Linked DNA regions of Drosophila melanogaster. The protein of the gene in region 1 interacts with the protein of each later gene in a pairwise test. Each region holds a gene or a part of one and is shown in the gene's direction. Other genes may lie near its edges.

What was found.
Region 2: the proteins of CG5770 (region 1) and Elal interact in a two-hybrid assay, tested with the Drosophila melanogaster proteins (one large-scale study listed by BioGRID).

The regions. Positions count from the first base shown.
Region 1 is NT_033778.4:18,043,447-18,047,100, reverse strand, and holds CG5770 (uncharacterized protein), read left to right. Parts: upstream 1-2,027; 5' UTR 2,028-2,054; coding exon 2,055-2,105; intron 2,106-2,160; coding exon 2,161-2,481; intron 2,482-2,544; coding exon 2,545-2,814; 3' UTR 2,815-3,055; downstream 3,056-3,654. Other genes in the region: CG5767 (uncharacterized protein), read left to right, coding at 1-100, 282-665; CG5773 (uncharacterized protein), read left to right, coding at 3,513-3,587.
Region 2 is NT_033777.3:24,863,664-24,868,311, forward strand, and holds Elal (Elastin-like), read left to right. Parts: upstream 1-1,686; 5' UTR 1,687-1,706; coding exon 1,707-2,181; intron 2,182-2,348; coding exon 2,349-2,863; 3' UTR 2,864-3,988; downstream 3,989-4,648. Other genes in the region: CG7016 (uncharacterized protein), read left to right, coding at 1-406; Srg1 (Sting-regulated gene 1), read right to left, coding at 615-1,043.

The DNA.
Region 1 (3,654 bases):
GAAGATCTACCAGGCGGAGGTCACCAGCCTATGCAGCGCCTTCACCGCCTGCAACAGCGACAACGATACCACCAACTTCTTCAAGTGCTACGCCAATGCGGTGAGTTGAAGCTAAAGGATCTTCCGAATGATAGTTGTTAACATAGACTAGGGTTCAAGTAGTACTCATATGCCCCAACAAGTATAGGTAATTCGCATATGGTGAAAGGCCGGAGACTAGGTCAATTTTTTTAGACCTAATCTTAATGTGTTACAAAAAATGTATCGTTTTATTTCCTTAGGCCGAGAGTGATGTATCTGTGATCTATGGCATCGCCACCAATGCCGCCAGTTCGGCCAACTCCCTGAGCACAGGCATCCAGGCCATCCAGGACACCGAGTACCAGTGCACCAACACCACGGAGAGCAACTACGTCCGGGATACCGCTGCCACCTACGATCTGTTGGACAGCTGCCTGAAGTACGGAGTGCCCACCACCTCCACCGCCGCCCCCTCCTCCACCAGCCCCGTTGATAGCTCGAGCGGGGCTCCTGTCACTGATGGCACCACTGTTGTGGCATCGTCCACCGCCGCTGCTGACACCACTGTGGCTGTGACCACCGCTGCACCCGGAACCGCTGCTCCGGCGACCACCGCCACTTCCGGCACTTCGGCCTCTTCTTAAGTCACAACTTTAAGTAATCACAAGCAATAAATGAACATTTGAAAAAACGTTATGAAAGGTGTCCTTTAAACATTATTTAGGAACAGAAAAATTTATTTTATATGTCGAAATCATTATGTAAATTTAAAGGAACTCAATTAAACTTATTTGTTTAAATTTTTATTTTTCATTAAGTTATTATTAACACTTACATATTATTACTACCGTCACTCTCTCTCTCTTGAGATAGTTGGTAGCACATTAAGTACCTATAAAAAGTCAAATGAACTAGAAATCTTTTAAATAGTTGATTTACGAGCAAACAAGTTTTTACATATGGCATGTAAGAGTCATCATAATATATTTTACATATTTTAGCCGGATAAGAGTTTCATTTCATTTATTAAAAATATAGGATTTGATTACAACTGCTAACTTTATATTTTTTTTTTTTTTTTTTTTTTTTTTTTCATTATTACGATGATGTTTTTATTATTTGATCAACGCACTGTTACCCATGCGGCAACTTAATTTGATCTGCTTAAATTATTTTATTTTACAATGTGTCTTGGTTACTTAAGACTAACAGATTTTTAATCCTAAAAATGATAGGGAGAATTATAATAGTTGATATAACATAGTAATTATTATTTATTTGATTATTCTAATGAATTTTAAAACTAAGACTTTCTAGGTCAAAACCAGGTTAGGGAGGTCATGAGGGTGGTGGCTAACTTTATATAGATTGCCTGAGACAAATGTTGCATACTTTTTGCCGAAAAACAAATGTTATTCAAAACAAGTAAGGAAGTCAGGTTCGGCAAAACCGATGCTTGTATACCCTTGCTGTAAATATATATTTAAAATACTGAAGCATTTTTTTCTATTATTTTCAATTAATTGTACGACATCATTATATGATATAGTCGTATGGTTTTGCTCAAAGATCTGGTTATATCGAATTAAAAGGCTTTAAGATCGAAAAAAAAAAAAAAATAAAGCTGGGATTTCTTTTCAATTACATAAAGTTTATATGTTCATTCAATATTTGAATATGACACATTGATAGGAATAGTTTTCGCTAAGTTTTTGGGCTTTGTGGCCCAATAGTTACAGCAATCAATTCCATGGATTGTAAACTCTTAAGCTGTTGAGTTACCTTTGATAAGTTGAAAGACCAGGTGCTTGTGGACTACATTATATTGTTATCCGCACTTCGACTTGACTCATCGATTGGAGCCGTCTGGTCATACGGCCTAATGCTACCTAATTGATCGGAATTCACTTGCAACAAAGAAATCACACGAATTTCAAGTTGGTCAAACGGATCCATCATTTTACCGACCAGACGGGTATATAAAACATTTAGACCTGGTCTACAGTAGTCCCAGTAAAGGAATAACCGTCAACATGAATATTCTGTGCACCGTGCTTATCTTCGCCAGCGTTTTGGCGGCCAACGTAAACAAAACGGCACATCCGCTTATTTCTCGAGAGTAACCACTTCCGTTTCCAGGCCAAGCCCAATAACCAGATCCAGAGTGCCTTGGATCAGTATTTGGTGCATGCTCGCAGTCTGGATACATTTGTTTCCGAGGATATGACCACGCAGTGCTTCAACTTATACATGCCTATGCTGAATCAAGTGGCTGCCACTTTCTCGAGTTCCTATCAGGACTGCATCACCACCGCCAATGCCCAGATCGCCAATTTGACCGCCCAGGCGGAGCAGCAGCAGAAGACCTATCAGTCCGACGTTTCAACACTCTGCAGTGCCTTTACCGCCTGCGACAGCAACAATGATACCGCAAACTTCTTCAACTGCTACGCGAATGCTGTAAGAAAATGCACAATGAAATAGTGAAAGTATTGAAAAATTGAATTTTAAATATTCCTATAGGCTGATAATGACGTCTCTGTGATCTACAACCTGGCCAGCAACGCTGCCAGCTCGGCCACCTCCTTCAGCTCGGGCATCCAAGCCATCCAGGACACCGAGTACCAGTGCACCAACACAACGCAGAACAACTACGTCCGGGATACAGCTGCCACCTACGATCTGCTGGACAATTGCCTCAAGAATGGAGTGCCCACCACTACCGCCACATCCTCATCAGCCGCCCCTCAAACTACCTCTACCACAGACGGGGGTTTCCTATTTGGCCTTTGAGTAGTTAGCATTCGAAACTTTAACATATTCTAATCCATAAAAACTTGTATCGTTCAGTAATTTTTTAAACCAAACAAAAGAAAACAAATAATTCAATTATATTGCCAAATTCACAGTAGCTTGGTTTTATACTGCAGACATCGCCAATTGAAATCTTAACATAATCAATTTTGTTTCAGATGAAATTTTAAAAACGAAGTGATCAGTGAAATAAAGTCGCATTGGTTTCAGTCGTTTAGTTATTTTATAATGTGTACTATTGTACATGCCTAGTGACTAAGGGAAATCCTAAAAGGCTGTTGTATTTTTTATATTTTTTTGCCAACGGAGTACAGATGCTCTCACAAATATACTTTCGTGTAATATTCGGTTATTTCTGGCACAAGATTTCGGAACAGACTGATGAGTTGCCCACAAGCCGCAGGCAGCATCAATGGAAAGTTTTTACCTACACTCGGAGAATAGAATAGAATAGACTGACCGAACTTACACCTTTTCGATTGGCGAGCGGGCATAAATATTCAATCGGCGGAGGTGGCCTTATCGGCGATACATTCAATTATCTCTCCGGTTTGCGACTGTTGGCGCTTTAAAGTGTGCCCACACACAGTGGCTTGTGCTCAGTCGAATTTTGTTCTCGGACCATTAAACATTACCCATTCAGCCAGCATTCACCATTCCAACATTCGACATTCAACATGGAAGGCCAACGCGTGGCAGTCGTCGCATTTGCTGTTTTGCTCGCCGGATTGTGCGTGCTATCCGGTCTGAATGTAATGAAAATGAAATTGAAAATGGAAATGAAAATGAGACCGGGTTGGTGACAATCGAGTAACCGTA
Region 2 (4,648 bases), on another chromosome or scaffold:
TAACTATCCACGCCTCCCCGATCAGCCGGATCCCAATGATCCAAACACGAATTGGAATCCAGATAATGAGTCTAGCACCACTCCACAAACGCCAATACCAGGACCCATCTTTCCAACGACAACACCTAAGCCAGAGCCCACCTTTCCCACGATCCAGCCACGTCCAACCGCTCAGCCAACGAAGGATACGCTCATAATAGGAACCAATCGACCGCCGTTGGTGCCGCCCCATAATCCGGATCCACCCACGCCCACTTTTCCCACTTGGATCGTGCCGGAGCCATTGCCAAAACCATTGGACGAACTCTCCGAAAATCGTGCTATTATATTCCCCAGCTCTAGCAAATATATCCATGTGCCAAACCCGGAGGTTCCCTCAATTCCCATTGATGTGAGACGAAGATGAATCTTCTAAGAGGGAGTTCCCCGATTCACACTTGTTGTATATATATTCGTAGACCATTGTTCAATTGCTCCACCCGAGATCGTCTTTGTCATAAGTTCAAAACAGGTTCTAAAAGCTCGTTGGAAATAAACGAAATTTTAATAAATTACACATAAACAAATGAGACAGCACATGATTGGATGAGACTGGGGTATCTGACGGATGAACGTTAGTAACCCCGCTGCTTGTAACCACCTCCACCTCCGTAAAGATCCTGATTCTTGTGCGGATAATGGACACTGGCAGGATGAGACGGCTGAGAGTAGTATCCAGGCGAAGGACGCACTGACCAAGGTGGTGGATAGTAGTCATTTGCTGCCGGAACCGGTCGTGGTGGGTAATAGGCATAGCCACCTGGATGCGTCTGCTGGTGGCTACCACCGTAGCCGTAGCCTCCACCATAGTGATAGTCGTAGCCCTGCTCGTAGCCCTCCTGGATGAGTGGACCTGGTCCAGGATGTAGCTGTGGATCAACTGGCCTTGCTGGCGGATAATGATTTGGGTCGCCGAACAGAAGCTCCGCAATCTTATCGAAAGTGGGTCTACCGTGGGCCAAGCTGGCCAGGATTAGCACTAGAATCGCAGCCAACAACTGCATCTTGGGATATGTAGAGCAATTTTGCTGATAGTCCCAATGTCCATGCGGCTTTTATAGCCAGCAGCAGCACATGGCGATAAGAAAGATGAATGGAATCGAGTGGAAGAACCTTGGGTAATGGAACAAATGCTATATGTACATATGTACTTATAATACTAATCTATTGACTGGTAAACAAGGTTGACTGGGAAAGCTTTCGTTCTCTATATAAAGGGAGGATCATAACTCATGATCATCATCTATGCAAAGATGAGTTATGAATTGCTTGGGAAATCCCTAAACCAAAAATGCGTCTCAACTTATCTATTACTTGGCTTTAGGCCGCAAATTTATACATTGCAAGAAATTTATATATAACATTTATATTTATAAATTTGTATATGGGTATTTCTTTAAAAAATTCATTTATTTGTTCAAATTTATGGCTAGTATCTATGCATATGCACATTGTTGTGTTATATTTTCAACTTTTGCTTTCAGTGTAGACTCTCTCATTCAATTTACTAGAAAGAACACTCAATGAGACTTAAACTACATATCTGGGCATTGAGCCCCTGATGATAACCCCAAAAATAGACACTCAGCTAAGCTCTCGTGTCATCAGATCTCACCATGAAATACACGCGCCGTGAGCTTCTGGGCTTTAGTGTACCCAAAGACGCCATGTTAAGCAGGAGGGTCATCGCATTCGCCGCTCTGGCCCTCATCCAGATAGCCAGCGGTCAGGCCTCGCAATTCAGCAGGGACGAAAGTCAGGAGGATCAGAAGACGGAGTTTAACCTGGCCTCCACTCTGACGGGAGGCATTACCAGCAGTCGCCATCGCCAGCGGGCCAATCTCAATTCGCAACTTTATCCTGGCCTTGGTCAGCTGGGATCGGGTTATGCGGGCGCAACTGGATCCATCGACGATGCCCATGGCCATGAGCAGGGTGGCTCTGGCGTACGAGTGGCCAGTACGAACTCCGTTGTTTTTCCTGGCAACCAGTCACCAAATCCGGCACTCACAATTACAGGAGGTCACCAGATTCCCGCTTATCCGCCTCCGGGTTTTCCTGGACAACAGGCTCCAGTTCCGTACCCAGCTGCAGGAGGCTCTTCAGGAGGATCCTCATCATCCGGTGGTTACCAAAGTGCAGGTAGGTCCTTCTAATAGGTGGTTCATTTATCTTAGTGAAATCAGAAAACTAATATCAAGTCTTAACTCCCAAAAAAGTTATACAAAATTTAAAAGATTGGTGAATAGCAAATCCACATTTTGAAATATATATGAAATTATGATATTAATGAAATGTCCCCTTTTTAGGTGCTGTTTCTCCTCCTGGCTATCCTGTTGCTGGAGCAGTTCCTGCTCAGTATCCGGTGGGAGTTCCTCCCCAGCAGCCAGTGGGTGCAGGAGCACCTGGTTACTTCCCGGGAACTGGTGCCTATCCTGGCTATCCCTACCCCGGAGTATACTTGCCACAGTACCCAGCGTACCCTCAACCAGCCCAGTTCCCCGCCTATGGAGTGCTACCCGGAGCTGTGGCTCAACCAGGAGTTCCTGGAGTAGCTGGAGTTCCGGGAGCACCTGGAGTGGCAGGAGTGCCCGGAGCAGCTGGTCAGGCTCCTGCCACCAGCGGCATGAACTATCATCGCTATCCGGCTCACAATCCCGCTGATCCGAGCCATTGGGACCATCATTTCTCGATGAACACCGAGTACAAGGAGGATGGCGTCCACAAGGGACCATTTGGAGTGCTGAACAATCACAATGCCTTTGGCTATGGCAGTGGATATGGGGGCGGATACAACGGTGCCTTCAACTCGCCGGCCTACTGAAGCTGGCCGACATCATGGGTGGACCTCGGTGGTGGTGGTAGTGGTAATGGTGTTGGTGGGGCGTGAAGTAATCCGAGTCGTAGTCATAACTTCGCTGCTGCCTCCTTGGCCAGAGGCAGCTGTCTTTGCCTATCATCCTGTGTGTCCCTGCGAAATAAACTTGATTTCTGCACACCCAACCAAGATAATTAGCAATGCTGGCCAGTTACCAGTTGCACCTTGAACCGGAAAAAATAAAGCACATGCACTCGGCATTCTGCTCCCATACAGACAGCTAACCCAAGACATTCACATCCCATCCTTATTCTTTTCCTTATTCTTATGGCAATGCCGCTTCTTTTATCCGGCGTGGACACAATCGAAGACGACAGGAGCTACCTGGCTGGCAGGCAGCCGAAAAAAAGGGAACGCACAAAGGCAGGACTCTGGGCGAGCCAAAGGTGGTGGTAGAAAATCAGCGTCAGAGAGAGACGCTGTTACTGGTATTGGTACTCCTGGTGCCCTTCGCTGGACCCAACTGCAGCGACATAAATCGGCTGGGTTTCGCTGTGCAGCGGAAAAGAGAGGGCCGAAGGAAAGGAAAGGAACCCAACCAAGGGACGACGTCTTGATGTCTTGCGGCGCATGCGCAGCCTGCCGCGCAAATCCTTAACAAATTTTTGGCGCTAAAATGACGGACGAGCGCGCCAAAAGCAAGGAACCGCAGGAAACTCGAGAGAATCATGCCCGGGGTATACAGACTACGAGTATACAGACAGACACTTACACTCATGGATTATGAATGATTTGGACGGACGGTATCGGTGGTTTTTACCTGTAGCAAATCGAACCGATTCCAGCCAGGGTTTGATGTCCTTAGGTCATCAGCCATCAGCTGTTCTATGATGAGCGCGGAGAAAGGAGCACAGATTCAGCTGAGAGGATTCGAAACAAAGGAATTAGAATGGGTGGGGTAATGGGTATACTCACGGCAAAGAAGTCTAGATGTGCTAAACGTTTTCCCTTAACCTTTGACATCTAGGAGTTTATGCTCTGTTTCTAACAATTAAAGATTGAACTGCAACAAATACATACATTCCAGATTCTAGGAAATTGAAAATAATGCCCTAAATTATTTAATCCCCTAGGAACTAGGATCATTTCCAACATGCTGGATAAAGACAGCTAATTTAAAATACTTATTTAAAGTAAACATAAACACTAATGATACTACAATTGCATTCAACTAGTTATATCTGAGTTAATACTCACCCGATTTTGAAACTTCCATCAGGTTTTTAAAAGAGTTTTCTAGAAAGAAAAATAAAAATACGAATTTATTGCACTTACCCTATTAAAAGTAAGAATTTTTTCACTTCGCCCACCGTTTTCCGAATGTAATGATGGTAAAAAGATTGAAGTATTTTTGAACGGACGTAAAAATGTTTATTGGTATTCTCTCGCAAAACGATACATACATAACACTGAGTACATACATAACTAGTTACTTCAACAATGCAACGTTATCAACCATCCATGGATAAACGAGGTGAACTGAGGCAGGGCGGGGCGGGGCGGTATGATCAGGAACTGGGAAGTTGATGGTGAGCGTCCTTCGAGGGGCGGGAATGTGAGCGCAAGGAGGGGAGTCCATGAACGACTTAACAAATAACAGCATTAATAACGACGACAGGAACAGATGCACATGGCGTACATGGCGTGCACGGGACGAGGGTTGATCGCAGCGCATTTCCAGGTTGTACGGGACACACGTGCCTTTCATAGTCGCTTCGTATCCTTGCGTTT